2 linked regions of the Struthio camelus genome follow. The protein of the gene in region 1 purifies or fractionates together with the protein of each later gene. This does not show direct contact. Links are inferred from orthologs where the notes say so. Each region holds a gene or a part of one and is shown on either strand. Other genes may lie near its edges. The genes, in order: MMP2 and COL5A1.

Region 1 (15,867 bases):
TAGCCAGAGGCTGTGAAACTTGCAGGCCAGTGCAAGCCTTGCATGCCTTGACCAAAATATTTGGGATTTTACATTAGTGCTGAGGTGCTAGAAAGACAACACCTGATGGTCTTTTGCTCCACTGAGATTTACATTTTCGTAAACTTTTTAAAGACTTTGCAAGTCTTGCTCACTTTTTAGACTTGAACATATAAGCACATCCCTGATTTGTCAGAGCGCTTGAGCCTCCTCTGTGTCGGAAGAGAGTTCAATATAGTTCTGAAGGTTTCTAGAATGGATTGTTTTGCTCTTTAGTGAGACAACAGCCCTTCTCCCTCACCTTCCTAGGTAGCTGTATATTGTTTCATGGTAAATGAATGTTAATCCTTCACCAGCGTGCCAATTACATTGCCAGTAGAAAATACAGGGAAGCAGCAGAAGAAGGCAAAAGCACATAAGAGGAAGTCGTAGACTTGACCTGACAGAGGGGCAAGCTCATAAGTACGTTGCTTCCTTTTTCTTGCTGTATTCTAGTTGGACTTATTAGTGCCTTATATTGCAGCCAGCTAACCTCCCTCTAAGGAGAAGCTTCCCACCCTTTGCTGCTGCTGCACGTAATGAATGAAGCTACTTTGTGCCTAAGGAAATTGTTATCAGAGGAACGTATCAGTATGAGGAGGCTGGAGCGCGACCGCAGTCCGACAGTCAGAGTCCGTTAGACTAGTTGCAGAACGCTTTGAGTCGTAACTAGCAAAGAAGCACCAGACCAAGCAAAGCAGCTAAGACAAATCTACTCTTGCTTGCTCTCGCCGATGCTAAAGGTTTGTTCCTGGACGCCTAAGCCAATGGGATTTTTTATTATTGACTTTAATGAGAGCAATATTGGTCCCTAATTCTTTAGGGTAGTAGTAAGATATGAAAACATGTCAAACCTATTGCAGTAGGCATGTTACTTGACCTATAGCTAGTGGTCATACGTATGTGCTCAGTCTGTGACAAGTGTGAGGCAATGTGGGGCTGTTTCAATCCCTGAATGGTTTATGTTAGTCTAGCCTTATTTCATGGGTGGTTGAAATGCCTTGTACTTGCCACAGTCAAGAGTATGGAAACAAGATTAAGTAAGTACAGTTGTTTACTGAACTGGGGTAACTTGACTGCTCTTAGTCATTAGAGAATTTTATGGTCATAAATGAGACTTTTTAAACTGTTAGGAATAATGGGCATAATGAATATACCATTTTTTACTTCTTTTTAAATTTTTAAGTTCCTCACGTAGTTAGAGTATTAGGTCTTTCGGTTAGATTAGATGTTAGATTTTTAACATGAAGAGTTAGTTTTAGAGGAGTTAATAAACTCCTGCAGTTTATTTAGCAGTGTTTACTCCCGTTGCTGCTGACCATTTCTCATTTACAGCTGGTTACTTAAGTAGAATTTTATTTCATCTAGTTCCTGACTGTTGAAAAGTATAACATGAGAGACCAATCAACAGCAACTGGTAAGTGAGCAGTAGTGTTATTTCTTCTATTTTAAAAAGTGTTTGATGACCTCTGTTTTCATGACTGCTGAATACAGAGGAGTTGGTCCTCCTACACATGCTCTGCAGTTGCAAAATACTCTTGCCCTGCTGAGCGGACGGGTCGGTGGGGTACTTGTGCTCCAGATCCCTCAGGATGCTTGCAGCAGAGCACAGAACAAAACCAACATCTCATTTTCTCAACCAGAACCATGAAGTTGAGCTTTAGATTATTATTCCTTAAATTTTACAATTTGAAATTTCAGAGGTATTTGCTTGAGCATCCAGTAATTATCCAAACACAGAGGTAATCATTCAAGAAATCCTATGTGGCCTACCAAGCACTACCATACATCTGACTACTCCATTTAATTGGTTCTTAAAAGCAGTCTATTGTTATACGTATGCGTAACAACCAACAGTGCTAGCCAGTACCTGTACGTTATATGATTTTTTTCCCATTTTGGTTTTCTTGGAAAGAAGTTGTAATTGGCCACATCTGGATTACCACAGCGCGGTTTCTTCATCGTCTCAATAGTATTTTGATCCAAATCTCCAGTTTCAGGCAGCCCAAAAAATTTCTGCATTTTCTTCAAAGTATCTTTCAGTACAAATAAATTGCAATTGTCTTTTGGGCACCCATAGTATTTGTTCAGGTATTGCTTGGAAAAAAAAAAAGGCACAGAACAAAGACTTTAAAATTCATAAAGGAGAGAATTAATCACTATGAATAAATACTGCAATTCCATGTCAACTTTCACATCTGTAATTTGCAAGCTTTCTTTTGAAAATTACTATTATTAGTAACTGAGTGAGCAGCAGAATCACCTTAATTGACATAAACCATCCTTGATCACACAACATTGCTAATTAAGCAATCATTCCCTCTAATAGCTATCACCTTTACTTAATGAATTGCTTTATTAATAAGTAGAGCATAGAGCTTTAATGTAGAACTACAAAGTAAAAATGATTTTATCTTTTTTTGGTTTCTTTATGATGTATAAATCTGCTTACAGTTTTAGATTTTGTATATTTTTTTCTCCTGGAAGACTCTATGGATTATGAGGGTCTTGTCAAGTTAAGGTATCAAAGAAACCTCACAAATGAGACCACATTAATTGAGAAGAAAAAAACACTGTTTTTAAACTGCATAGAGCTATTTGAATGTTGTATGTGTTTGCTCTTGAGTCAACCATCGCACAGACCTGAGGAAGAAAGTCTTTGACAGTGTTTCAATCACCTGGATACCTTTATCCCATCAATGTCTGCTTAATATCTTCACTGAGTCCTCTAACAGATGATGGTCTTTCTGATACATCTTTAAGGTGACAGACCACAAAATTATCTCTTCTTAGAAAACAGTAGTCATAAAGGTTCAAAAAGGCAGCGCAAATCCATTTTGTCTAGTCTTTTCTATAATAATTTTAAAAGCACAGCTCTATCCCACTTCCATTTCATTCAGTATGACCTAATCAGCAGGAACAGCAGTAGTTTGAAAAAAAAAAAAAAAGTGAGCCCAAGAGCTAGGAGATGTCAGTTCCTCCCTTTTAACCATTGGAGGTGATTTGCAGACACCGCCAGGTGTGCTGTGTAAGTGCAGTAAGTCCGCCTGTGACGGCGGAGGAGCTGTGGCTTAGTCTGTTCCCTGGCAATTGCTCCAGGTAAGCAGCCGTGTCCTTCAGATGCGTATTGCTGCGTCGCGTACTTCTGTTAAACTAAACTGTAGGTACACAGCTGTGGTCTCAAATATCCATACGTGATCACCACCTTCTGTGCAATACAAAGTGACCTCACCCAAACAACTTAGTATTTTTTCCCCATAACATCAAATGTTGACAGACTGACTGTGGACTTCTTGGGGAAGGGACCAACCCTGAGAGCCTGTCTGGCAGTCTGTAGCCCGAGGTGACAGCTGCCATAACAACCTACTCATTCAAACTAAAAAGAATGACCCCGAAAAAAAGCAACCAACAAAACTTCCAGGTGTATCCTTCCACCTGGAAGGATAAATCCTTTTTCAGCTCTGCTCTTAACAGGGGAATAGCAAAATGTGGCTACGCAACAGGCTGCCTGCTAAACAGAGGTCAAGATTTACTGAAGTTGTTACACCATTTCCTTTGGAAGGTCCTCCATCCATCTACTGGCTGAGCACAGACTGCGCTTACTCTTTATGTTTTTTGTAACACCTTCTTCTGATGGGGTATTCCTCCAGTGGAGACAGCTGCACTAGCAAGCAGCGGGCACACACATCCTGTACCGGCTTCACCTTTGCTGTGACTGAGTTTCTTCTGGCTTCTCATAGTTAATGGGGCCGAGTGGCATGATGAGAAGTGCGTTAAGAGCACAAACAGGCCAGTTTGCAGGATCTATTATGATTTTAATCTCGAGGTACTTTTGACATATTATATGATGCTTCTGTCTGTATCTCCCAGTGAAGTACCGTGACACAGAACAGACCACATATCAGGACTGAAGTTTACTGAAGCAGCAGCATACTGCTCTTGCCATTTTTGGTTTGGGAGCATGATAATATAAAGCAATATAAAATGAGGCATGATAAAGAATTTTATTTCCTAGGATTATAAATATAAACCTAAGCCCTCTCAGTTTTTCCTAAAATGGTGATTTTACTGAAGATGAGAAATGAACATAACCAGCTGTTCTAGGAGAAGAGAATCCTGAAGAAAATTTAGTGTCTCTGTAAACCACATGTTGGCCTACGCTGCAAACTGCAGTTTCCCCGGAGTCAGCAGGGAGCTGTGGTGATCTGGAATTTAGATCCAGCCCGTTAATGAAACAGGGTCCAGCTGCAACACAGCAATTTGTGTCCTGCTCCTGAGTACTGGGGCTGCTCACACGGAGGGGCTGAGGGAAAGGCAGCCAGTTAGCGTCACCCAAGAATACTGCACCAAAGACAAAGAAGAGCTGCAGTGTTAACACAGCTTGTAATTTTCCTCGGAGTACACATAATAAATAGGTTGTTTGAGAGAAATAAAGATGAGAGGAGACGTGGATTGCTGTAATTGAATAAAAGCCTGACTGTGTCTAAGAAAATAGATTATTTAAGCGTGGTTAAATTACCGTTAGACATGTGTGACCCCACTCTCCTCTCCCACACACGCAGCCCCCATCCTCTGGTTGTCATGCTGCCAAGGCAAAACCCTGGATGATTTTAAGTGCTGAGGAGAGCCCTTTTGGGGTCAGTTTGTCTGCTTTTCCTAAACTTTCTGCCGCTTCCCCCGCCCCCCTGTCTGCAGATTCTCGCTCTATCCCCCCTCCGACCTCCCTTAACCTGGCAAGGTTTCCCAAGATGCATACCAGCTCCTAAAGAAAAGTGACCAACTTTCAACCCTTTATATGATAAAATAAGAATAATTTATCTCAATCTTCCTTAAAATGGAGTTACTGCTGAAGAAGAGAAATGTCTATAATTTACATGCTAAAATAAGGATAATCCATCTCAATCTCCCCTTAAATGGACTTCTCCATAATGTCATTTTTATGAAGGTCCACAGGGCTAAAATAAGGTTAGAATAAAATGCTGTAGAGCTATAGCTGTAATTTCCTAATGTCACATTCAGAAACCTAAACTCCTTTTTTTGTTCCAGATCGAATTTAGAGAAGAATATGTCTTCAAAGCTGTGATAAGATTTTTTTTTTCAAACTTAGAACTAGTCATTATGGCTTCTGAAACTCGAGCCAGCTTTCGGCTGTAGTTGCTCCTTAAAGCTGTGCTTATGCAATGCATGGTAAACAACCTGGAAAACAAAATTCTGCAAAGCTATGTGCTGCATGCATTAAGCCCAGTTTTATGTAAGTGTGCCTCCGCAACCTTCCGTTCTAAATGGTTTCAGTCAAATCTTATATGTATCTTTTTGCCCTTCTCCCCTCTTAACTGTTGGAGTCTTTTGACTATAGTCACAGTGATTTAGTGAAATTATTTTGTATGTTCGGACTTAAGGCAAAAAAAAAAAAAACCAGACTCTTTGTTGGCTTTAAAAATTTTAAGAGAGGAAACGTTACTTGGCTCTAGTTTTTACTTTTGAAAGCTGATACCTTTGCTAGCTAGCTTGCTCTTCCAGAGACTCCAGCGAGAGAATGCAACAGTCGTTTCCTAGCCTCTGCTCAAACAAGAAAGAAACATCTGCTTATGAAGAACAATAATAGAAATCTGAAGCAAAGACGAAACCAAGACTTACCACTGCTAGTTCTTTGTCTGTTTTTGGAGTGCTGTCTCCAGGAAACTTAATGATTGGTGACGGTGCAGCTAAAGTTTTGCTAAAAAGATAGACGTGGATTAATAGTACTTTAAAAATGAAGCCAAAGACAATGTGGGTCTTCATTCTGCCTAAACTTGCGCTATTCTCCTTGGAGAGAGGTTTTCCCGACCGGTTACTTTAGCTGCACGGTACACCAGTTGCTTATCTGCACATCTTAGCTCTCTGCACCGTTTTCTCTTTTGCTTGCTCTAGCAATTCCTTTGTATGTTTAAAACATCCAGATGCGCAGCCTCAAGCTACCACAAGAGGAAGTCTGAAAACTAGTGGAAACATGAGAAAAGGGCAGTTACGATTTGAGATTGCTGTGATTTTAAGGTAGCAACAGGCAGATACTTATTACTGCTGAAAGAGGCCACGTTTTCTCCTTGTTTGCATATGTGAACACATTTAGTTATGCCAGAGAGCAGCAAAGGGCAAAATCTAAGCTAATGTTCAAGTGTCCTGGGTTCATTTTACGTTTTAAAAAAATGCCTAAACGTTACTTTCTCGGCTAAGCATTTGTATTATTTTTTAGCCCCTTTTTTTGCCACAGACATGAGAATCTGCTCTAGTTGTATGTGCTTTCTCTCCTTTCAGTCAACATTTTGATTACAGATGTTGAGGCAGAGCGTGCAGGGAGCGGTGGAGCCGCGCGAGGCTGCGCTGCCCGTCCGCTCCCGCCTAGGCTGCGCGGGCTGCAGGGCTGCGTGCGCAGGGCTCCCAGGCGCTTGGCATTCACCTTGCGAGCTTGGTCTGTCACCTTCCCCTGTCTCTCTATGGAGTAAGAGAGAACCGGGCAGATTCGGCAAATACAAATGATCTCCAGCAGTTGATGTCGGGGGAATTGTACCAAATTCTCGACTCGCTTATGCAGGAGGTTGGTCCATTGCTGTAGCTGCCTTAGTCAAAGCACTGGTACAAATGTGGCCATCGTCACAGACAGTCTTCTTATTGTTTCGTTCATAATATCGCCAGCTTTGAGATGTTACTGCAAGCTGAATGTTTTTTTAGCTGAATATCCTTAATCTAGGGGCTTGGCTCATGACTCTCTAAGACTGGAGGCTGGCAGTTCTGCATGAATGAAAACTGTGTTCTAGCCAGCCACATGTCACAGAACCGGGGCTATTAACCCTCATTCCCACCACCAAGGTTCCTCTGAGCCGTGTGTCAGCACAGAGGTTGCTACGGCTTTCCTCTGAACGTTACCGGTGACAGCTTTGCGGATATGACTCTTGTTACCAAATAGGTCTGTTAATGAAAAGGAAATACTTTGCGGCTATTTGGTATTTATTCATAATATTTTGTTATTTGATTGAAAATATTTAATATTTACAATTCTGTGATTTACTCTAATATCAGTTTTGCTACCTACACCCGATCATCCCTGAACTGAGTAGTCTTACAAGGGCAAGGGTTTCGGACTGTGGGCCAGGTGGTTCAGAGAGAAAGCGCTAGCTGAAGCATTTGCTGCTCAAAGAATTCATTCGGATGAAAATCAACCACTGCAGTTGTATGGCCCCTGGGTGAATCAGCTGTGGGAAGCAGCACTTAACACGCAGGAGAGGAAGAGGAGTTAAAAAACTTCAAATGCAGAGCGACCTTTCTGTGTAAAGTAGCTTTGCGTTTAAGCCCCTCTCATCCTTCCATGTGCGAGTCCAGTGGCACCAGAGTTAAATGAATGAACAGCTTTCCCCTAACGGTTCAGCTTTGAAATTGCATCTCCTTTTTCAACCTCCTCTTCAGCAAAGAAAGCAGTCACTTCTAAGAGTTGCCTTAATCAAGAGCAATTCTGAAAATTTGATCCGGTTTTTCCACAGCCCGGCACTTGGTTCAGGGAAACGACTCTCCTGCTTTGTTTATGATGACAGCTCCTGTTTGCGTTTGGCCACAGGAAACTGGAAGAGAACAAAAGCTAAGGAAGCCTTCACTGCATGTGCCAAGTCACTCTTAGCTTATCCTTAATTAAACAAGTAAAAATATTACATGTTGCATCACAAAGTTGTGCAGTAGGCCAGAGGCTGTTGTAAATCTTAAGAGCATAAGAACTATCTCATTTTCATAAGAATTTTAACTTAATTTATGGTAGCTTGGTAGCTTTCATTTTGAAGGGTACTATAATGAAGCCATTTAAAGCTAAATGTGTCCTGGCACATTCCTGTTACGCTCATAAACCTCACTGAAACCTAATGAACACTCCAACATGCTCCTTGTGTCCTAATGAACATAGCCGCAGAAATGGATGAAGCCACTTGGGAATGGTCTGTGAGACCCTTGCAGTTTGAAAATCTCACTATATTTTGTTTCTTAACTTTGCTGGCAGGGAGAGGACCTGGAGGTCACCTTTTAAACAAATTACCTCAAGAAATGAGGAAGGCAACAGAAACCATACAGACTTGCAGTGGAATGCTGTTTCTCACCTCTGGTTGCAATTTTGCTGGCAAACTACTTTGCTGGTGCTATTTCAGCTAGTGAGCAGTGAAACAAATTATGTTCAGTTAGGAAATATAATAAATAATAGAATATTGGGTTTGTGAGTACTGGGTAAACCCATATATTGACTTTATGATCATTCAGTGAAAGGCCTTTTTATCTGTGACCGCTTGAGATCAGTAATAGTTTACAAGATCGTAACTGAGGTGCCATCTTCAGGTAATCAAAGCAAATTAAATGCTAATGACGCTTCTTTGTGAGAGAAGGAGTTCTGCCATGCTATGAGTAAATTCTGGTTTAAATATTTCTTGTCTACTCACACTTTTTGTTAAGTTCTGTGGGATCATCCTGTCCTCAGCGTGCTTTGTAGGTGATTTTCTTCCGCCTGGTTCTGCAGTGCTGCTGAATCCCGTGAATAGGGAAATTCTGCCCAAATAGGGAATTTCAGACCTCGTAGCTGGCCCTGCTTTCAGCTGGGGTGGGACGAGATGAACGAGATGTTACAGCCTGACTTATTCTGTGATCCTACCAGCCTTTCTGAATTTGAAATGACATGGCACAATCTGCATTCTGTTCTCTGACTAGATAAGCTTAAAACCAGGCAGAATCTGAAGCATTTAAATTGATGCCTTTTGACGAGTATAGATTGAGAGTTTGACTACTGTTATTATTTACTTCATAAACATTCCTTAACCCTCTATACTCTGCAGAGATTATCTCCTATATAGACTACTGACTACTGAATAGATTCATGGAAGTTAAAAAGGGGGAGGGGGGGAAGAAAAACCAGAGGAAGAGGACCCACTGAGAAGACACATCTAGCAACTTTATGGAAGAGCTGAAAGAGAAACCTAGATCTTTTTTTCTCTTAGCTTAATGCTCAGTCTGTAAAATATTTTGTCTATGTACATATTTATTACCTCTGGATTAGCTACAGAAAGCGAACACAGTTATAATTACAGCTACACCTTGTTTTTATTTGTGGAAAAATTTTACTTCAATGTTGCGTGTAGCTTCCATACCAAGGAAGAAATGTATGTTATATGCCTGGTCTCTCCTGATTCAGGAGCGAGGAACCCTGCTCTCCGGTTAACCAGGTTTGTTTCAGGTTAGAACTGCTCCATATCCAAATTTTAGAGCCACCTACTTTATGAGTAAGATGCCAGCTTTGCTTTTTAAATGCCTACTTTTATGCATTAATAGGAACTGTATGGCAGAAACCACACATTAAGGCGATGTCCGATGCCTCTTTTGAGGACATACTTCAGGAAGAATGGCAAAGAGGGAGTCATCATGTCTTGCGTTATTAAGCTGTAAGCTTCATATCTCAGTAGGTTGAACTGTGATAACAGACACATGCGCATGTATTAACATGGTGTTTTTATCAGAGGATTTTTCTGTTTTCAGAGCATTATTTTTGAAGTGATTCAGGAGTGCTCAGCAGTTTCAGGATTAGACTTCAGGTGGTGTTCTGGGTAATTTGCTGACAGAGTAAGTCATCCCAGAAAAGCACTGTAGCAACTCCTACTGTCACTAATTCCAAACTTATGTCAAAAGCTGGTGATTTCCTTGTGGTTCCAGAGAAATATGTTAGGTGGAGTGTCAATGAGCACAGTTCATGGGAGGATAATGGATTTATTCTTAGTGGGCTTCTCATTATTCTTAGTGCGTTTTCATGTTTTAACTTGAAAACTTTTACTAGGCTAAATAAATAAATAATTATCAGGAAAATTAAGGTTGCAAGAAAGTGCCTGATCATCTGATGACAGAGTCACCTGCCCATAACAGGGTGGAGTGGAGGGTGAATCTCCAAGTAAGCTCTTGCTATACTTACATATCCCCTTCTTGCATTTGCTACTTCTAGGTTCTGAGCTGTCAGTTTATAGCTTCCCATTTAGGAAACAAACCAACCATTTGATTAATGAAGATGGACCTGCATAGATTTTAGCAGAATTCTTCAAAAAGAAATCAAATGTTAAAATCAACAGCAAATTGTCAGAGTTGCGCTCTAAGGGTGTTTCATGAAGAACTTCTAAGGGAGTGGGAGACCTGAAGCTTAGGTGATGGAGAAGTTTGCCTGGGCTTGAGGAAAGGTGCCCTTGGGGCTGTCCCAGGTCCAGTTTATCCAGGTCTTTGGCTCCTTCTCAATTTGCCAGGATTGCCTTGCAACTCCTTTTTCTGTGCCCTGATCCTGTTCTGCAAGTTCTTCTGGGTCATCACTCCAGTGCCTCCTCCCTTCCTGTCTGAGGAAGAGGAGTTTATAAGGATGGGGAAAACCAAAGAGCTCCGGGAAGAAAGCCTGGGATTCACCTAAGCTAAAGGAAGCTGACACTGTTTCCCATGTCTGGCTTGTAGGCCACTGCACTTCTAGCAAAGCTTCCAGAGTGGTGCCAGCCTGAAGCTCAGCCAAACCTGGGATGCACTCACTTGTCTACTCACTGCTGCTTCCTTAGGGATACCGCTGCTAAAGATGGACCATCTGTGCAGATAGTAATGCCAGTATACTAAGGGAATACATCTTTTTTTCTGGGTGTTTTGCACCAGAGAACAATAAGCTGCAAGTACCTGCCACCTGCTTTATTCTGTGCCTGCAATACCAATTGCTGCAGTTGACTGATGGTGACGTGTACCTGTGTAGGAATAGCGAAAGGCATCGTGTTAGCAGTTTATCCATTACAGGAAAGATGTCTCTAGGAAGCAATGATTAGCCAGAGCAGGCCCCATTTGACTTTAAAAGGATTAATAACTTCAGCAAGAGCTCATTTACATTGCAGTCAAGGGAGCTCACCTAAGACTCGTATGCTGAAGAGTTGATCCAAACAGGGAGCGTAAGACTTAACTGTCCACGTCATTTATATCTGCCTTATCTGGATATCCTGTCTGCCTGCTCAGTGCTGGCTCAAACCCCTGTGATCCACATTCACAGTATCCGACCGCCACATGAGGGAGTCTTTAAACTGTTGGAAATCTGTGTGGGTGGGTGGAGGGATGAGGGGGCACAACGTACAAAGGGCCAGCAGTTGGTGCCAGATGTGATTTTCAGCATTTAAGGTAGCAATTATATTTTTGCTTTTGTTTCTCTCATCTCCTCTGTTTTGGGAAGTTAGGTCCTAAGGACATGAAGTTCCATTGACACATGGATTTGGTTTGTTAGCTTGCTGCTAAATTAGAAATGAATTTTTGGTAATTCTGTTACTCTGGACAAGGCATTTTCCATTGCATATGTTCATTATACTGCTGTCTGAAGCAGAAATTCCAGCCTGTGTCCTCAGCTGCTGTCAATTGCCATTGCAAAGCTTCTGTTGGGTGAATTGGTTCAGCGGAACTACGCTGAGCGACTTCAGTCGAAACCCCAGGCCAAGCTTACGTGTGGCACCAGCGCCAACGTCTGTGTGCCTACCTAACGCTGGCACACACTCGAGGGAAGCTTCAAAGTGCAAACTCGGTTGAGAAATTTCTGTCATCTCTACACATTTTCCTATTTTTCAGTTTTTTAATTCTGAGCAGCGTAGTTCAGACCTCCTTTAATTATTTAGTTTCAAGTATCTGGTACGACAAAATGAGATCGTCTGAGTTCGTTTCACTTGAATTTGTGGCGTTCTGGTTATTCGTTGCTGTTGAACATTCTACTAGCTAGTTAATTCAGAAATTCTGAGGCCTGCACAGATTTCGTTACAAACTGATTTCCACTACTCCTCCTTGGTCGTTGCCCGCTCTTCTCCCCAAAATTTCAATCATTAATGTAATAGATATAAAAATAAAATATATATTCTAGGTGTCTGTTTAGACACTGGTTATAGTAAGCAGCAAATGCCTGAGCTATTAACTGTTAAGGTCACTAAGAGAAATGTGTCTCTGGTGAAAATTCTGCCAGTGAGCGAAATAGCGAAAGTATGGTACTTTCATGAAAAAAGCCATAGTTTAATAAAGCAAGGGAGAGATTGTACTTTTTTTTTTTCATCCAGTGTGAACATACTTGGGTCTCTTTGGCCTTCCTTTGAAGACGTAGGCCTTGCCGATGCTTTCAAAGAAGAATAGAAGTTTAACTCTTACCAGAATTTTTCCTTCAGTACCACTGGGGAAAGACACTTAGCAAATGAAAAATGCAATGACTTGCTTATTTTGTAAGAGAAAGTGAGGGAATGGTGTTTTGGCGAAGCTTTGTGAAATTGCCCTGCTAGCTCTTATGTGATTTCAAATGTTCTAGGTGAATTAGAAAATCTGAGAGGAGACTTTTGGACCCACTTTTTCCAGTGTGCTCTACTAATACCCTTTTGTGATGCTTTTATGGTCATGTTCTAGATTTGTATTCTTGAGGACTAGGTTTCAGGAGCAGCCCATAAAACACAGGTGAACGGTTCTGCTAAGGTTTCCCAGCAGCCAACAGAACATTTGCCATCAGCTTGATGGGGAGCCGGAGCTGGACAGTAGCCCAGAATTGTCTTTCAGGAAGTCAAAGACTTCATTGTGTCTTGGTGCCATAGCATCTTTGTAAAGGGCATTTTTGCTTCCGGGTGTTTTTTTCAGGAATGTTGTTATTTTTAAGCCGTACTTTTTTTGTAGAAAACTGAGTTTTTGCATAGTCATATGGATGTACATAATGAAGCAAGTGGGTACACAGATGCTGTGGAGGTTCTTCTGTTGTTTACTAATAACAATTCAGATATTATGCAAAGCATATAATTTATTCATTAATGGGACAAGTTGATGGCAAAAGCAACATAAATCAAATCTTACTGACAGTGTGTAATTAATATAACCTGTTAGGGGGCATATAGAAATGGCCTGGAGGTCCAGTATTTACAAAGATCTATTAAACATATTCAATAGCATGACAATGATGTGGAAATTTTCCTAAACCCCCATGAGTGGGACACAAAATAAGGCTATCCCTCAGGGTGAATCTGTGAAAATACTCAGAGGAATAGTTTCTATACAATAATAATTAATATCAGAGATCACAGAGTGAACAACTTGTGTGGAATACTGCGAAATTGTGTGTTGATATGTTTTTCATTATTTGTGAATCTGAAGGACTCCCTTTTTAGCATGCAGGGCTGTTGAGTTTAAAGAGGGTCATGCTGGCCTATCAGTCAAGATAAGCGGCTTGATGAAAGAAAGGCTCGAGCGACAAGATGGCCCTGGCGTTCTCACGGGCCTTGCTTGCTAGCCCCAGCAGGTCTGGCCTGCCCACGCATCTTGTTGTGCACTGAGAGAAAACAAAATTTAAACCACACCTCAGCTGTGCAGTAAGGAAAGGTTTTAGTTTCAAGCTTTCAATTGCAGAGGAGTACGAGGAAACCTTTGTTTAGGAAAATGAGTCAAGCTAATTTGTATAAGGATTTTTTTAGTCTTGATTTATTGGCATTCTCTGAGGAGAGTGCATCTGTAAATGAGCTGTTTCCAAAGTAAACCTATGCGCTCAACATACAACATAAAAGTGTGCATCAACTTGTATTCCTTCAAAAAAAAAATCATGACTATTAGCACCTGATTTTATACACTCCCTTTTTCCCTTTTCATGTAGCTCTTGGCTCTTTCCCTTATTTACAAGGGTCTGATTCCACAGTAACTTACAAATGAGGTTATTACTTATTGTAGTAGGCTTCCCAGACAGTTTCAACATGGGAAAAATACCTAGTTATTTTTGTTGAGTGCTATTTCACTTTGTGAAGTGACTCCAAAAAATAAGTGGGGTTACTTGTAAGGAAAGGGAGATGCTTCTGGCTGGTGGCTTCTGTAATTGAAAGTGAAATGCATCTTATGGATAAAATATGTAGAGCTAATTTACTTTTAAGAGAAACTCCACACCACTGGTGGCTTGGCAGAAGAAAGAAGTCTTGTTGCTGCTCTATTTGCCTAAGCTTGGTAAACTCAGCATGATCATAAGTACTTCTGGGGACAGATCCTGCCATCCATGTTGATGTTGGCTAACGTCGTATTTTGTCAGTGATCCTGTTAATCTTAACGAGGCATCTTGCAGTGAAAGATGTGAGTAAGCATGATGGGGTCTACTCCTTGACTGGGAAGCCGGGTAGCCTCAATACACTGTACACCGTAGTAAGAACAAGAGCTAAGTTTTAAGTGCTTGCATGCTCAGCTCCTAAGCCACATAAGGCTTTGTAAGTCCTGCTTTTTGAATTTCAGAGATAGACCCTAAGGAGTACCTCCCCGAGTGAGCCATTTATCAAATTCTCGGAAGATGCACATTACTTATAAGTAGGGCCGCGCCGAAGCAGGACTGTGCCTGCCGTGGTCCTGCTGTATTCATGGGAGAGCTCTTTCCCGTAACAATCGGCAAGTGCCGTCCTGAGCGTGTCAGAATAATAGTTCTGCTTGCTTTACTGCGGCTGCTGGGCAGCCGCTTGTTGATAGGCACTGTACATCTCGCTTGTCATTATAATGTTAGTATTGAGACACCGAGGGGCCTTAATTAATGACTTTGAAGATCTGGTCTTTTATAATTCATGACAGAACTTTAATTAAAATCAAATATATAGCAGTTGAACTAGCAAAGGATTTAGAGTGCACAGTCGCTGATGGAGAAAGTGATTCCCCCTGACCGCTGGTGCTATATGCTGAATGCAAATTCCCTTTCATCACAGCACAGTCAGAGAACAGAATGAGCTTTTTTAAAGCAGAGAGGTCCCTGTTGTTATAGACTCTGGAAAAACGGTAAGGCCAAGGGGCCTGCAGTGATTTGATTCCCTCTCCCCCACCTCCCACCCCTTTCTCCTGCTTAAATTCTCATATTTAAAAGTCTGCATTGGTACAAAAGAAAAGGCTACAGATTTGTATGATGCTTACGTACTCAATTACTATTTGTAGAGATGATGAGTAAAAATGCTGTGTGGGCATCAGGTGCTCACTCCTGGACTCCTGTGAAGGCAGGAGGACAATTCCTATTTCATATAAAGGGAAACTGCTTTCACTCAAACAGTAGAGGGGAAATTAATGTGTTTGGGAAGAGTTCAGCCTGGCGCAGGAATCAAGTACATTTTTTTTCTGGCCTATGCTATGTTAGCAAGGCTTAGGCAAATACAGTCACAGAATGTATTACTGTAGATGAAACCTGTTGTGCCAGGGGATGTGTTTTTTTAATGGGACATTGAGTTTATTTCAGTTTATTTGGTCTTTGTGTATACTTTGATTCATCTGAAGTTGTTACCAAACATGCTTTTTATCCAGGGCTCTTAAAATACTGTCCAGTTACTACAGGAGGTTCTTTGAATGGACCTCATAGTCCTCCTGGTTCATCTGCCTTCTTGGGTAAAAATTCAGGTGGCATCTGTGGCTTTGATTTTACAATTATGGGTTGTATTTTAAGGATTATTGTTTGGTGTTCTGTGGGATTAGTTGATTGCTTGGGGTTTGGGGGGAGTAGAGGTGAGTGGGATCTTGCTGAATGGTCAATCTGTGTTGCTACATTTCCCCGTACTGTGTATCCTCCACTACCTGCTACATATACAAAAGGTAATAAATTAAATACAATTTACAGTTTAATGGAAATAAGGGAAATTGGTCAGTAAGTCACATTAAGGTCTGTCACAGAAAAAAATGCTGTGAGAAGGGGATGAATAATGGAAAAAATTGTATTTAAATAAATTAGTCACTGCAAGCTGGCAAAAATTCAGAAATAGCTTATTTACTAGCTATAGAAATGGTTTAACAGTAGGAAAATAT
Region 2 (15,674 bases), on another chromosome or scaffold:
CCTCTCCTTGCTGACCTACAAATACCAGTTTTCAGAGGAAGATTTATGACCAGTATGAAATTACCATCTTGTAAAAGCACAAATCATGGCTATAAATAGGGGGCTGGAATATGTGCACAGAAACCTCAAGGGAATAGTGACTCCTGCTTTGTCTGTGCAAGATCGTCCTGCTAACCCAGGTTAAGGAGCTGGGGCCCAGTACTTTGGCTCATGTAAACTGGCAGAGGGCCAGCCAACCTTCCCCTAATCCATATCCTCACAAGGATGGAAATAACATCTGGTTAGACTGACAGTAGTCAGGCTTCATAGTAACTGAGAGCTCTGCAAACTGAACCTTCTCAAGCCTTGTATCCATTTATCTTCTTTTCCAGAACATTAGTAGGCAGAGTTTGTTTTCAAGGAGTTATTTAGCAGAAAGGGGGATTAGACCTTGGGCTAGCATTGATTAACCCCTGCATGTTGAGTTGTTTAACAGCCTAATGGATTGGTCATGTTTTCTGGTGACCTTTGTGAATTTAATCCTCCATTTGAAGACTCTTCTGTCTCCTCTAAATATGTAGATTCTTAAAAGTGGAATCTATGGCAAAATATCCCTAAGGAAGGGAATGGCCTGTTTAGCAAAGCACAGGTCTGGGGACGAACAGTCCCAGGGTATCTAATCTTAGGTTTGACATTGTGTGAAGTCAATCACCCTGCCATCTGGAGGCCCACTTATGCATCTGGATACCTAATGTTGCCCACAGAATTGATTAGTAAATATTTGTGAAGGCCTACGTAAGAGCTCTGCGTAAGCCAAAAAACTGCTCTCCAATTGGAAAGGCATTGCAGGGAGAGGAATTTTCCTTGAGGCTTAGTAAATATAGTAGAATGTGAGTTCAGTTGGCAATAAAATGTAATGTCACCTTGAAATTCAAGTCGCAGTAATTTTGATGATCAAGTAGCTGAGTTCCTTTAAAGGAAAGTATGGGAGGCAGTGATGCTGCAAGCATAAATAAGTGTAACTTCATTGCCTTCAGTGGAGCTAGATCAATCTAAATCAGCTGGATATCTGATGTAGATAAAGTATTTATATCCTTCTGCTGCTGAAGCCAGGGATCCAAGGGGGAGACAAACTGCTCACTGGGGCCAAATGTGACACTAACAAAAGCATCTCCCACTGTGAGAAGGTCCTGGTAGCAGTTTAAGGTCTCCTTATGTTGCCAGAAGGGCATAAAGGGATCTTGCATAAATAAGGCTTGGACCCAGTGGAAAATGCCTGGGATGTGGCTGCCCCCTTGGCTCTTCCATGGTCGCAGTAGTGCTGTGAGGAGGTTGTTGTACTTGACTTTTCAAGCATAACACCTTTCCACTGCAGCCAGGAGTTTTCTGGGCTCATTTGGCTGTAGTACAAGCCAGGTCAAGAAGTTTGTTTGGTTTGCTGAGAAAGATACTCTAGTTCAAACAAGACTTAATTCAGTGAAGCCCTGTGGCCTTTGTGAAACAGGATCACCTCCGGCCTCATGATTTATGAATGAAAAGTCATGGGGAAAGTCTTGCCTGAGGAAAATAAGCTTGTATAATAAAAGGTAAATAAAAGGCACTGGGGTAGGAAAGGGTTGAAGTTGCTCATCAACCTGGAAGCCATGCAGCTGGGAGCTGTGATGAGCTATGAAGTACTCTGCCCTTCCAGAGAGGCTTTGCTGCTATGGAGGGGGTAGCTGCTGAGATGATCTGGAGTAGGTGCCCTTGCCCTAGCAGAGGGATTGGACTGAGGTCTGTTGCAGCCCAGTGCTTTTGATTTCCATCTGTGCAAAGCTGAGCAGAACTGAAAACCAGATAATAAACCTGTAGCAGCATTGAGGCTGTTCTGAGGTGCAAGGGACTGTACCAGGTGAGCAGCAGCGTTGGCCTTGGGGAAGGGGCAAGACTCAGCCCTGTCTTTCAGCCTTCTCTCCCAGGCCTTTGTCTCTGAAAGGTAGTGCTAGATTCCTATTGTGATTGCTAACAGTTTTTAAAAAGTTCTTGCCAGGACTGAGTAAATCTCCATGCCAACTTAATTTCCCCCAAATGTTGGCTGTGCAGTTATGTCTGTCTTAATGTTTAGGAGCTGACTATATGCATTAGATATCTGGTGATAATTTTGTACACAGGTCTGCAGCACCTCTGAGGAGCGCAACACGGCTTCCCAGGGCTACGAGGGGTGACAAAACTCTGAGGCTGTGATTGTGCTTTGGAGTTTAGGCTTTCAGGCTGTTATAGGTGAGAGCCGCCTGCTGAAAAGCTGGAGCATTAACCCGGTGCTGTGGCCAGCACTAGTATGTGATGGGGTGGTCAGGAATAGTGTATTGGTATATAATCTGGGCATGAACACCATGTCCCTGGCTGTTAAGGGTTAGGGATCTGACACGTTCTGGCTGAGATCTGCACCTTAGGACATGCTAGCTGATTTACCCACGAGTTCCCCAAACTGGAAAACTCATCACTGGTGGGGGGAAGGGAGTAAGTTACCGTGGGGACTTGTGGCAAGGTGCTGATGCATCTGAGAAGGTGACTTACTGGAAACACTGAGCAGACAGAAGTAAAAATTAGTCATGTCAGAGACCACTAGGTAGTTGGACTGGATTCTTTGAATGATTCATCCACAAAAATGACTACTTTGCCTGACACTTTGTTTCCCCTCTGTTTAGAAAGTAGCTTAGACATACCAAGACTGTGGCCTGTTGTATGAATTGCTTTTTGATGGGTGGGTGCTTGTAGCATCCTTGTATTATAATTTCTAAACCACTACTTCAACAAAGGAAAAGAAGACAAAATTAAGGGTTTTATCTCTCCAGAAGCACTCAGCGGAATTAACCTGTAATCTTGCAAAAGCAAAGGGGAATCTACAGAATGTGTCATTTTCAATGAAACTGTTAATGTAAAATTATAAATGGAAATAACACAAGTTCCAAGCTGCTATGTGGTGAATTGACAGGAATATTAGATTTCATTTTTCCAAGCAATTTTCATCTATGTTTTCCCTTCTAAGTTTGAAGTTGATCTATTCATCCTCTAATCCTTCCTCAGAAAAGAGGAGGAAAGAGGACTGTCAGCTGGTACAACCAAGAAGTACCCAGCTGCTTTAATCAGCTACTAGACTTTAGTAGAACACATTAATGATGCCAATTATGGATATGTTTGGACAGTGGTAAAACCTGCCCCGGTGACTTTTTGCCAGTTTGTGGTGGGGGAGAAGCCTAGCAAATGAAGTTCCCTGTCCTGAAGAGTGTGTGCACCCCATGAACAAAGCAGATAAAGGCATGCTAGGATGTCTAGCACATCCCAGCAGCCTGGGGCTTGAGATGAGAAGACTCTAGCTAGCTTGCTGGTGGGAGCAGAGCCAGGAGCATGAGGCTTGTCTATTGGTGCTGTGACCATGCTTTGTGAAATTCACCCACATTTTTTCAGGATTACTGAACTGCAGAAACCCTCAGTGGAAAAGATCTCTCTGGTCATCTAACCCACTCAGGCTAGGCAGGATTGTTCTCAGCAGTCTATAGCTTTGTCCAGACTAATTTGAAATGACTCAAGCAATGGGATTTTTCATCACTTCCTTTGGGAAGTCTTTTAGATCTTCCATAGCTGACTAGATCTTAATGTAAGGATTTTCCTAACAGTTTAGTCCGAATTTTATGCTGCTGAATTTTCAACCACAATCCTATTTATGCCCAGCTTAATACTCTGCCTCTTTGGTGTTATACCCTTCACAGATTTCATATGCTTAGACCTGAGCTGGTCACTTGCTGAGTGCAAGTGGCATGAGCTGCAAGATTCATGCCTGCTTTTGGGAATACAGAGCTATGGAACTGCTATAACACCCCTCACCCCCCCCCCCCCAAAAAAAAAAAAAAAAAAAGCACAAACACTTTGGAAACTTTTCTTCATAGGAAATCTTTCCAGGGCAGAGAGGCTAGATTGCCCTGCTTTTAAAGCCATGCTTGCAAAAGTTATTCCACATCCTGTAGATTAATATTTACAGTTTCTGACTTAATGTATTCAGTCTGATAACCCAAGATTTCTAGTAACTTATATTTCATGTTCAGGGTTTTCCTGGGTAGGATTCTGCAAATCTCTCACTAGGAAAAACCTCTGCCTAAGAATCGAATTGTAGCTAATTGTGGAAGGGAGAATGAAATGCTGGCTTTTCCTTGATATGGCGCTAAAGCCTGTTCATCTTTAGAAGCCACTGAACCCGGTCTTTACTAATATCAAATAACTGTGCATAGAATATTTGGCAAAAAAAAAGCATGATGAAGACATGAAGAAGCAGGTAGTGAGGGAAGGCTGATGGGTATAATCACAGCTGACATCTGTCCTGACTATTATTCGAGGAAATCTAAGGCAGCACAGAGAGGGGCCTCAGTTCTCAAAACTGGGCTCCACCAGCAGAAATGCTCATCCACCTTCTTGGAATAACCATGTGGGGGAAAGCTAACAATCGCTGAAAAATATATATTGTGATGGTGTGTTAAGTAAACTTGTGATCACTGTTAACATGCAAAGTGTAAGCTGTCATCTGTTTGAGTGCTGCCCATCTGCCTTCATCCCTGGGGAAAATGTTAAGTCTGTCTTGTGGCAAGGCTTGAGAACAAACACCATTGTCTTCTAGATGAAAATATTCCTACTGGAGGGGCACCCAAACTTAACTCCTTGACACAAATGTCAGTGGGGCATTTTGACCCTGCACATAAATCTTGTGGTTTGGGCTCACCTTTGATCTTCACATACATGATTATGATGGATAAACTTAAGCTAAAAAATTAACTCTGCAATCTGTATCCAACAAAACCGTTGCTGGGGTCAGTGCGGGTCTAAGTAACTTGAACATCTTCATTTTTGACCCTTGTGAAGATCATAGGGTAAATCAGTTCTTTATGATGATAACGTGCAGCTTTGTGGTCAGTGTGACACTTGCTGTAGCACCATGGGTTATCTTTCTGAGGGCTTAGCCTAGGCCATCTGACCATAGATCACAGGGCATGAAGTGAAATGCAGGGATGGGAGAGGGAATGGCAACTCTCTTGTGGGTCTTCCAGGCTGATGTTGGGAGTGAAAAGAATTGACCTTTATTACCTTTTCATCTAAGAAGGTGAACTGAGTTCATGCTTCTCAATAGGCACTTTCATGCAATTTTTGCCCTTCTGCTGTGCTTGATACACCAGCACAGTCTGAACACATAAGAGTTGGAGTCATTAGCATTAAACTGAAGAGAAGGCAACAACACTGGAAAAAGAGGAGGAGTGGAAAGTCTGTTCTCGTTATAAAGATATTTCCTCTATTAAACAAACCTCTTTGACTATGAGAAACATTTAAACATAAGGAAAAACAAGCCCCACCTTGTGTTGGCGGCACTATGCTCTTTCCTTCTGGTGGGATTTGTCCTGGTGCCACCCCATGGCAAAAGTCGGCTCTAAATTTCCACCAGAGCAGATGAAATCTGGAAGAATTGCCTGTCCAGCTCCTAGACTCTTGCAGGGCTAACTGTTTCATAAAGAAATTGGCCTGAAAAGCCAAAACAAGCGTTTAACTACAGAAGTGGAGTGTTATTTTTATTGTTGTCTTGTCCATCTTGGAGAAACAGCTTTAACCCTGGGAGGAGTTTTGAGTTTTCCACATTTGGGAGCTACATTCATCATGTCACCAGCCAGCTTAAGGTTCAGCTAAAACATAGTATTATTGACTGTTACGTTTTCTGGTGTCGTGTCCTTTGAAGTACTGCAATAGGTATTTATTAACGTTGCTCATTATGGCGTTGTATAAAAGCTGGTTTGATGATTTTGAGAGAATGTTTTCAGAGAGGTTTAAGATGTTGGGGAATCTGCTGCTGCCCTGCAGCTTTTAACCAGGCCAGAAATGGATACGTACAGACCTGAGTCAGTACAGTAAACATTTTGCCCAAGTTAAAGGACCACACAGAACAGTGCAGCTGAGACTGGAGACATGGGGTAAGCTGTCAGGATACCCTATGTGCCAGACCCTTTGCTCTGCTTTGCCATGCTTGCTCCTTTTGAGTAATACCTATTGCAATGAGTCATCCTGCTGAAATGAATAAAGGACTTTTTAGGGCGCGAGCATGTGGATCTGATATAGCAGCCATGGTGTCTGCTATAACAGCTACTTGCTGCACAATTATTAAAAAAAAAAAAAAATCCATGTGACTATTAATACCATAAATGTCATCAGAGCATGAAGCTTTTCTGAATGGTATCTCCTTTGTGGATAAATGACAGCTTTAGTTTCCAAGCCTCTTGATCCAAAGCCTTTCAGTAGCACTGAATTCTCACTTTTTCTTAAGTCATAAGTTGAATTTAGGAGAGCAATCATTGCCATGGCAACAAGTGTGAGGTCATAAGTCAGGATTATGACTTCAGCACAAGATAATTCATAAAGGTTGAGCTAGGGGTGGGGATGCAACTGTATTTGTTAGCAAAGAAAATAAAGACAGGCATAAGATTGAAAGAGTGAAACTATTTTTAGATATTCTTTATAAGGAGCATTTAAATCATTCCTGACTGGAACAGTTTTTTTGATTACTCGTGCAACAGCTCAGACAGGCAGTTTTAAGAAGTATCGCTTTTAATCTGTTCTCATCCCCTGGTCATAGGGCGTAACTGGTCATCAGTAACTCCTAGTAGTGTTCTTGCTTTCTGATTGTTGCAATAGTTATGTTCAAACTACAGAATAATGCCTTTTATAGTTTTTGGCTGAATGCTAATGTTAAACTGATTTCCTAGTATAAATGTCTATCAAATTTTCTACCTATGCATCTTGAGGTTTTTTGAGAGCTTGCAAATGTGTCCTCCACCTTGTAAACAACAGCTAGCTGAACTCAAGATGCTTTCAGTCATGAAAATACTTTTAAAAATAACTGTTGTTCCTGAAAGATATTTGGCCATCTGCCACTGTTGCAATCCAGTCTTTTGGATATTCAGTTATTGCCCCAACTGGCTGCTTGGAGGGATTTGGAGCTGGCATGAACCAATCCAACTAGTGTAAATCTACTTGCTGCTTGCACCACCACACGATCTGGCCCACTGCTTTGGAGGTTAGCTCCTCAAACTTGGCAGGAGAATGCTGGAATTTTCCAGTTTGCCATTGCAAGCTTATTTTGGTATTTTCTGTTGTTGTTGAGGAGGGGCAAACAGGTCTGTGCAAGCTTCTAAATCACCTGGAAAGCAACTGGAAACTAAACTCTTACTGTTGTGCAAAAAGCTTTTTTTGGCCAGATTCTCAACTGCTATAAAGCAAAGCTGCTTTGCATCAGATGAAGGTCTAGGTTTGGGCTATTTCTGGCTTGCTTCCTGAGTTGAGCAGTGGGAGCCCTTGGAATATGGGTGGTGTGTTTAGTGTGTTTTACTGCTCTAACCTGCCTTTACTTCCTCGCCTGCAGTGCTTTCACTGCTTTAGAGATTTCCCTCCCTTCCTAATGCTGTATGCTCTTGAAAGGGCAGAGAATTTCAACACCTGAGTTGCAGACAGTGTCCAGGTGTTAGTGGGATTTTCATTTGCAGCTGGTGAAGACAAAAAGGGTCTCATTTCACAACAATGGGTTGTTTGTATGCTCAGAAATGCCAGCAACTTCTGGGATGGGAAGACTAACGAGATCCTGGCATTCACTTAACTGCAAGACTGAAATCAGACAACGCCCCATCTCTCACTGTTCGGGTTGGTTGTGCCTTTCAAAGGTTATTAGGCCTCTGATCAAGAAATTAGGCATCCATGGAAATGGTGTGGATCAAGTTATTGCTTTATGTCTTTATTGTAGTAAAAAGGGTTACCGGGAAGGTGGGCTTTTGCAATCAGTTTGCTGGTTCTTTTAACTGTCCTAGTTACATATCTGTATGCCTGGGATGTTCTGCTTTTCCAGATGAGAAAATATCTCCCTCTGACTGTTGCACAGTGTTTGTGAGCTGTGGGGTGGCTGCTCTGCCCCATACCAAAGGTAGCTGCGAACCTGTGAGAAATGGCGTATTTTGGAGCAGGAGGTGTTATAGAGATGGGGAGCACTTCCCTTGCTGGGTTGCATCTGCTGAGTGCTCTGCAGAGAAGTTTACAGGGAGGCCCAGGTGTTACTTACGCTGAAAGAACTTGCCTCCAGGCTCCCCACAGATAGGGAGCTTCACCTAATCTGTCTCTAGTGATCTGGTTACTCATGAAAGGGGTATTGTGGAAGGGGCTTTCATCTGGGTGATTTGCCCACGAGTGTCACTGGTGCTGTACCTGCCTGGCACGTGGTTACAGCAAACAAGTGCTTGGAGTATCTTGTTCTCCCCAGCTCGTGACTCAAGGGATTGCAGCCAATATGCCTTTCACCTGTCTTTCTGCATGAAAGAATCTCTCAGCAGTCTCTTGTGTGGCTCTTGTCCTAGTCTTCCCAGTTTCATGGGGAGGCTGCTAGCAGGGGAAGGCATCTCAACAGGTTTGCAGGTAAATGGGAAGATATTTGCTATGGCTCTTCTCCACTGAACCATTAGCCTCTTTACTAGGCTACAAGCTGAGTTGATTGGGAACACCTATTCCCTCTTGCTCCCTTCTGGAGATATGGTGGGATTTGGGCTTCTGTGCTCATGGGTTTTGACATGCTATTAATATCACTTACCTATATGAGAAACTCTCATTCCAGCAGGCCAAAGAGGTTTACGCTGAACAAATAGCTGAAGCTTGACATAAGCCTCTGTTGTACTGATTATTCCTTCAGATGTTCCACCCTGTCCAGTATCCTGATGACCTGATTTTGGGTTTATCAAGGAGTCTGTAGCATTGCAGGCCACCTAGCACTGCCTTGCCGAGGGTCCCTCCCCTCCTTTGGGGCCTGAGAGAGGGTGGTGCCAGGGGAAGGGATGTGGTGTGGGGAAGTAGAGACTGGCTGTTGCCGTTTTTTTTTTTTGCTACTGTACTAATTTCAGTGCTGTACAGCACCAGAACTAGTAAAATCATTTGGAGCTGATGTTTGTTACCAAAGTGTGATGTATTGGCGGTCACCAGAGTGTGAAGATGAGCAGTGCTGGGTAGCTTAGTGAAAGGAAGAGCAATGGGAGCAGAGGAGTGCCTTGGCTAGACAGTGTGCAAACTGATGTGCACAGCCTGAAGGCAACAGTTTTAATAGTTGACTGTCCTCCTTGGCTGTTTGCCAGGGAAGCGTTTCACCATCACAACTGTTGAGTTAACCTGGCAGGGGATAACGCCTTCCCTTTCAGTGCTTTCCCAGCTGCACTTTTACCCTTTGCATGTGTGCTTTGCATTGGCAACCTCCTTTGGCCAAATCCTCGTTGACATCTGCCACCATGTCCCCTTCTGAAAGCACCCTGCCTCCATCTCTCTCTCTCTGAAGCCAGAAGGAAAAGGGGGAGGTGGGGGTAGGGGGAAGCAAAGACCTTCAGGTTTGGGGTAATTTCTGGGAGGGAAGCTAGTGGCGAGCAGGGACAAAGGGGTGGCGGGTTGCGAGCCGCGGCCGCGCGGCCCCGACGGTTCAAACTTGCCGGGGGGGCCGGGCCGGGGGCCGGCCGGGCCGGGGGGGGGGCCGGGCTGCGCCGCGCCGCGCAGGGGGCCGCACCGCCCGGCTCTGATTTGCTGCGCGGCTCCGAGATTGACAAACTCTCGCCTTGGCTTTAAAAGAAGAAAAAAAGGAGGGGTGGGGGGGAGAGAAAGAAAGTTTTCGCTCCGGCAGCAAGCAGGGGAAGGGGCGAGCGCGGTGGAGCCCCCCGACAGCCCCATGGCTTTATAAAGCGGCTGCTCTCTGGGGGGGGGGAGGCAGGGGGGGGTCTTGAGCGGCTTTTCTTCGCGTGTGTGTGTTTTTTTTTTTAATTTTTTTGCGCCCCCTCCTTCCTTTTCTCCTCCTTTTTCTCAGTTTTTTTTTTTCGGTGCTTGCCGAGTTGTCCCGAGCTGGTGCCCCTTTTTTTGTGGACCATGGATACGCACACACGGTGGAAAAGGCGAAGCTGGATACGGAGCTGGCCGGTGCCCGCAGCGCTGCTCCTGCTGGGCGCCGCGTCCCTGGGCGGTGCAGGTAAGCGGCCGCGCGGGGAGCGCGAGCGTCGCCCGCGTACGGAGGAAGCCTTTGGGGAGCTGGAGCTTTTTTGGAAATTTGGCGCAAACAGCGAGAGGGAGAGAGAGCTGGCTTTTGTGCTTTGCAAAACGTTTGTCTTTTCTTACTCGATGCCTTCCAAAAAGAGCGAGCGAGAGAGGAAAAAAACCCTTTAGCTGCCCGAGTCTCTGAATGCCGTTTGTCAGGGGGCCCGTAAAAGGGAAAAAACTTAAAACAATGCTTTCCCCCCTCGTCTTAAGCAGATCTGCCTGTTGCTGTGCTTTTTTTCTGGAGCAGAAGTCAGTATGTGTTTCTAGAGCTTCTAATTCTGTTTGTATGTGTGTATTTATACGTGTGTGTGAATACATGTGTATATTTAACTGGAAAACTCTCTTCGTGCATAGTTCCTCCTCCTCCTCCTTGAGGAGAGGAAACTTTTGTCGAGAAGGAATTTGCTCTTCTCTCCCCGCTTCAAAGCGGCAGATCTCGGTGCACAAAAGCTTTGCCGACTTTTCTGCTCCGGACTCCAAGGCACACACTCTGTCCCCTCTGCACTTCCCTAACCCAACTTTGCCGTTTCTCCCTCAAATTACTACTGCCGACTGTGGCTAGAGGAAGTGCTGTGAAGAACGAGATGCAAAACAGTCCTAGGTAGGCAAAACGGCAGCAAACCCCCCTGAAATGTCATTTTAAAAGTCGTGCCGAAGAAGGGATTAAGCACTTTATTTTGCTAGCTGGAGGCTTCGGTTACCCTGTGTGTTTCAAAGGGCTCCGCTTTCCAAATATCTGCGCTCCCCGTGGTGAATTGTGAAATACCAGAGCAGGATAGATGGATACTTGTGGATTTACTCCAAAAGTTCTGTTTTCAGGGTATTTTCTGTGGCTGTGGGAGATGCTAGGGAGGCATCCATGCTCTGAGATCATTTTAAATAATGTTAGAAAGAATAAGTGGTTTGTGGGCAGAGCTGATTTTGAAATCTGCAAAGTTAAAGTAGATAAGAGTTTTGTGGGATTCTTAGGAAACTAAGCTAAAAGCATGCGGAATAGCTGATCTGCCCGAGATTGAGCTTTCATGCTCAAGTTCATGCAAGTTTTGGATATTTTCTTCTATCCTGGAAGCTCAGCAGGTGGTAGTTGCTGGGTTGTTTGTATGTTACTGGGACAAATGTGTGGGGAATTTTGTTATATAGTGGTGTAATTGTCAATTATTGTAGTTTCTAGGCTCTTAAAATAACTTTAAGGAAGAAAATAAAAGGCGGTAGCACGAGGAATGCTTTCGTCAACAGTTTGCTTGCAAGTTCTGAGCAAGATGGAAAGAAGTTGTTCACCAATGAATAAAATGCTTCTAGTACATCACTGCTAGGAAAAAAAAATAATGGCAGTCAGAGTTACTGAAGAGATTGTATTGTATTGCAAAAGCATTGGATTATTATTTAGAGCAGTTTTCTCCGACTAAAGACTATTGGAACAGTACTAACAACTTAATCCCCTTTTTTTATGCAGCCAGTGGCATCAGGCCACTGTTACTTTGTTAGCTGGAAGCTGAATTATTACTAGTCTCCGCTGTTTCAAAGGAAATAATAGTTTTTTTCTGCCCTCTGTCATTGTGCTAGTATTTCAGTGGTTTCAGAGCATCCTTAGGAACGTTGCCTGTCAGTGTATCTTCTCTGAACAGCTTCAGCATAAGACCTAGCACTCTTTAAAGTTACTGGTAACTTTTCTGTGACTTCTGTCACAGCTGTGGGTGCAGCTCTGGGAAGCAGTGGTCTGTGTAGCTGGAGCCAGCGATGCGATGCGGTGGGAGGCTGGAGAGCTGCTGCAGGGCCAACTTGCCGCTCTGAGCAGCGACTCTGGCAGTGAAAGGCTTTGAATTTTCCTAATGAGCCTCCTAATAGGCTATCAATTTAGATGAGGGAGGAGTCAGATTTGGACAGCTGATGGCATTGACTAATACCCCTTTAGAGCTCTTTTTTAGCCTTCCAAGCTGTTTTTTTTATCAGCTCAGATTGTTTCTGTTTCAGTTTCATTTTAGGCAGTCCCTCTGTATGGAGTGAGGCAAAACACTTAAAATCTTCAGAAACACATCAGTCAGGTTGTGCAGAAAAGAGGGGGAAGAAAGCTAGCCCAAGGGTTTCCAGAATAAACCGTCAAAGACGCTTCACTATGTCAGAAGTGACACGAACTGTGAAGTGCAGCTGAACGCTGCCCTTCCAAATCATACTTTTCTCATTTTTTAAACAGATGATGTCACGCTCCAATCTAACCCGCAAAGTTGGAGTATCTTTTTCTAACAAATCCCAATAAAACTGAATCAGGCTTCTGGACAAAAATTTTTGGAAGCAGCAGTTTCCTTTAGTGGCAAAGAAAAGTATAATGAGAATACATGGTATGTCCTTTAAAAGAAATACAAATAGTGGAGATTATGAAGTATCTTGTTACCATCTGTTGCTTCTCTCCTTGGCTGTTCCCCAGTCCTTTAGAAGGAGCTTAAAAAATATTCTTAGTATTCAGCCAGATAGAACAGTTTTGTTTAATATTTTGCCAATTGAAAAATCTTGATATTGTTTTATAAGAAGAAATATGACTTTAAGTTTGGAATTGGTGATGGATCTGATTTCCAGTGTAAAACCTGGATTATGCTGTCAGTGTGTTGCCTGTTTGGAACACGACTTTGTAGCTTAAAAGAAACGCAACTGTTGTACATGCTCCATCCAGAGGATGGACCAGAGGCGTTCAACTTAAGCGATATATTACTCTTCTCTATAAACTAGGGACGTGATGACAAATCTTTTCAAACTATTCCCTTCTAGAGGCAGTTTTTAAAGGTTACTCGCTGATCTCTTCCCTGCAGTCAGGCAGAATTGCTGAGTGCGGGAGTTGCAGTCTCGGGACTGTGAACTGACTTTTGGTGTCCGAAGAGGCGGAACAGTGTGCACTCTTTATCTGTTGGCATTGAACTCTGGCTACTGAGCTCTCATTTTTTCCTAGTCTGAAGATTACCTCTTGATGGGTATCACTATGTTAGATATCCAGTATTGGGTCTTTGCAGATAAAACCTCTGTTTAAAACCAAGGGTAATCCGATAAACCAAACTGTATTGGCCTTAGTGCTAGGGCTTGCAAGATATGAAGGCTGCCCTAGGACAAATGGGAAAGGACTGTAAAGGGGATATGTGTCCTTGTTTTAAGTGGGTACTGCCCCCTGCCCATTGCATGTTGTAGTTTCAGGAGATGGGCTTTCCTTTACGGGTTTGTTCTTTTTAACGGTGAGCAAATCTCATCAGTCAGATTCTGTTTCATGACCACTGGAAGTCAGAACAGTGTTGCAGGGGATGCGCTAACATCTGTCAGCGAGAAGCCCTTGGGTGACTTGGTGGTTCCAGCTTTCCAAGCTCCTCTTCCCCTGTGCTGTGGGATGTGATCCAGATGTGGAGCTGCAGGTCCAGGAGGGGGTGTGTGCATGAGGAAGCCAGGCCTTGCGCAGAGCCCAGCTTCCAGTTTATGCCACAGGTCTGTGCTACGCTGGCTTGGGTAGTTAATCCCTCCTTTATCTAATGTCATAGAAAATAATTTTATGAAATAATTATAGTATCCTTTTAAGTATTAGATATCAATTATGTGGTGTTCCCAATTCTGTCTTCTGCTTGGTCATCTTAACTACGCTGTCCTTATTAACTGGGCTTGGTCTAAAGGTCGTTCCGAAGAGAGCTTGTTTTGCATGTCGTTTCTCTGCACCGATGGTATTTACCAGCATCTGTGCTGTGTGTGATACTCAGCATAATGCTTTTAATTTTGAAGTAGCTTTTCTTTTCTCAGAGTTTTGGCAGGAAATTCTCTGCCACTGTCCCAGGACCAAGGTCCAGACCCCTAATGGGCCATAGGTGCCTAACATGCAGCACCTGCCTGGCTATTTTCCTCTAGCACTGAAGATGCAGTTCTGTCCTGATGCTGCCTGACCCTCTACTTTGGTGCAGAGTCCTGGCCTCGAAGTTTCCCCATGTGTCCTGAAGCCTGGCTTCAGTTTGTAGTTTTAAAGCGAGTATGCTTTCTCACAACTGCTTTGAGTTACAGATAGCGTTGAAAAGGAGACACAGCGTGGCAACAGATGTGAAGAGGCAGACGGTGCTGCTATGGCATACGTCACTAAAGCAGGCACGTTTGTATGAAGCACCGTTTATAGATGTATTTTAGGTAGTCTAGGTTTTGCATCTGGACTTCAGAAATAAACCTGTGGGAGGACTTGCAAGGAAACTGCTTTTCAATCTGAGTTTCTTTTCTGCAGAGGAAGAGCAAATTGCCCATTTAATTTTTTGGCAATTACTTCTTTTACTTTTTGTTTTATGCCCTGGTGCTCCCTCCTGCTCCATGCCCCATCCCTCTCCCTACACTTTTTGTTTTAATCTGTTTCAACTCCAAATATATTTCTTGGAGCAGAAGTTCAATGTTGGAGAATGGAATATCTGTGTTCATAGGGCCTGATCCAGGTTTCTTTCATGTTGATGGAAAGTTGCCTGCTGGCTTCAGTGGAAATTGGTTCTGGTTGTAAAAGATAAGGAATTGGCAGGTGTCTGTAAAAGAACTGAGTGTTTTTAAGACTGACCTTTGTCCACGAGTGCAATAATGTATGCTTACCCAGATCCCTAGTCCTGAGTAATTCCTGTGCTCTTGGCTGGAGCTCTCCCTTGCCTGCTGGAGAGCATGCCAGTAGTGTAGTAGAGATGAAAGTGCTTTAAGGACACTGTGCTCTTGCTTTCCTGTTGAGTTAAAAATCTCTCCTTTTGTGAAAAGCTGTGATATTGTGCTTATTGCCTGGGAGGAGGATTATTTGGTTTGGGTCATGGTCGCTAGTGAAGCGCTTGTGATGTGCGAGTGGGCAGGATGCTGGGGACATGTTGCAGTGTGGGATACTGCGTAGTCCTTCCCAGAGCGGCTGGAAGATGGCAAATTGCTTTCTATAGACAAGAAAGTATCAAACTTAGAAGACTGCACTGAGCAATAGGGCAGTGAACGTTTCCACATGAGCAAGTTGAGGATTAGAAGCTTTCTGGCCCAGCAGACCTGCAGTCTTACTTGCTGTTGTGCAAAGAAATGTTTGGAGCGGTGGGAGAAGGGGGACCAGGCCAGCTGGCCAACAGAGAGGTGATGAACAGGAGATAGATGAGTGTTCAAATTGGGCATCACCACAGTGATTCATGGTTTTGCTATTTGTGTGTTTGCGTGGTTGCCTGTAGAAACATCTGGAGGATAGGAGGATCTGGAATGAGGGGAGAGTGGAGAGCTGAGCCCGGGGTTGTGGGATATTGGTGAGTGCATTGCAGGTGGAGAGGTGCTGTGATGGGACTCCTGCTTGATCGTGCTCAGATGGTGTGCCTGTTGTAGCTGGTGCTGCTTGGGTTTAAAGAGCTTCCCTATAGTTGAATTAAGAGCCTCTCTGTTGGCCTGCTGGTTGTTACTTACGTTAGAGAGATAAGGGCCTGTCTGTATATAAAGCAATTTGGAGTATAGGCCCAAGGTTTGGGATCATTTGGGAAGAATGATCACATTTAGAGTTCACACTAAGGCAAAACATGAATTTTGAAGCACAGCAGTCCCTGAGATGGGGGAGGTCCCTGCTGTTTTACACATGAATTTGA

The links.
Region 2: the proteins of MMP2 (region 1) and COL5A1 purify together in Homo sapiens (co-immunoprecipitation; 3 studies listed by BioGRID and IntAct, counting the BioPlex papers as one, with this or other methods). This does not show direct contact. The link is inferred for Struthio camelus from reciprocal best matches to the Homo sapiens genes MMP2 and COL5A1.

Annotation. Positions count from the first base shown.
Region 1 is NC_090951.1:20,205,578-20,221,444, reverse strand, and holds the start of MMP2 (72 kDa type IV collagenase), read right to left. Parts: upstream 6,060-15,867; 5' UTR 5,839-6,059; coding exon 5,695-5,838; intron 2,155-5,694; coding exon 1,928-2,154; intron 1-1,927.
Region 2 is NC_090961.1:4,291,217-4,306,890, reverse strand, and holds the start of COL5A1 (collagen alpha-1(V) chain), read left to right. Parts: upstream 1-9,528; 5' UTR 9,529-9,924; coding exon 9,925-10,024; intron 10,025-15,674. UniProt on the Homo sapiens protein: Type V collagen is a member of group I collagen (fibrillar forming collagen). It is a minor connective tissue component of nearly ubiquitous distribution. Type V collagen binds to DNA, heparan sulfate, thrombospondin, heparin, and insulin.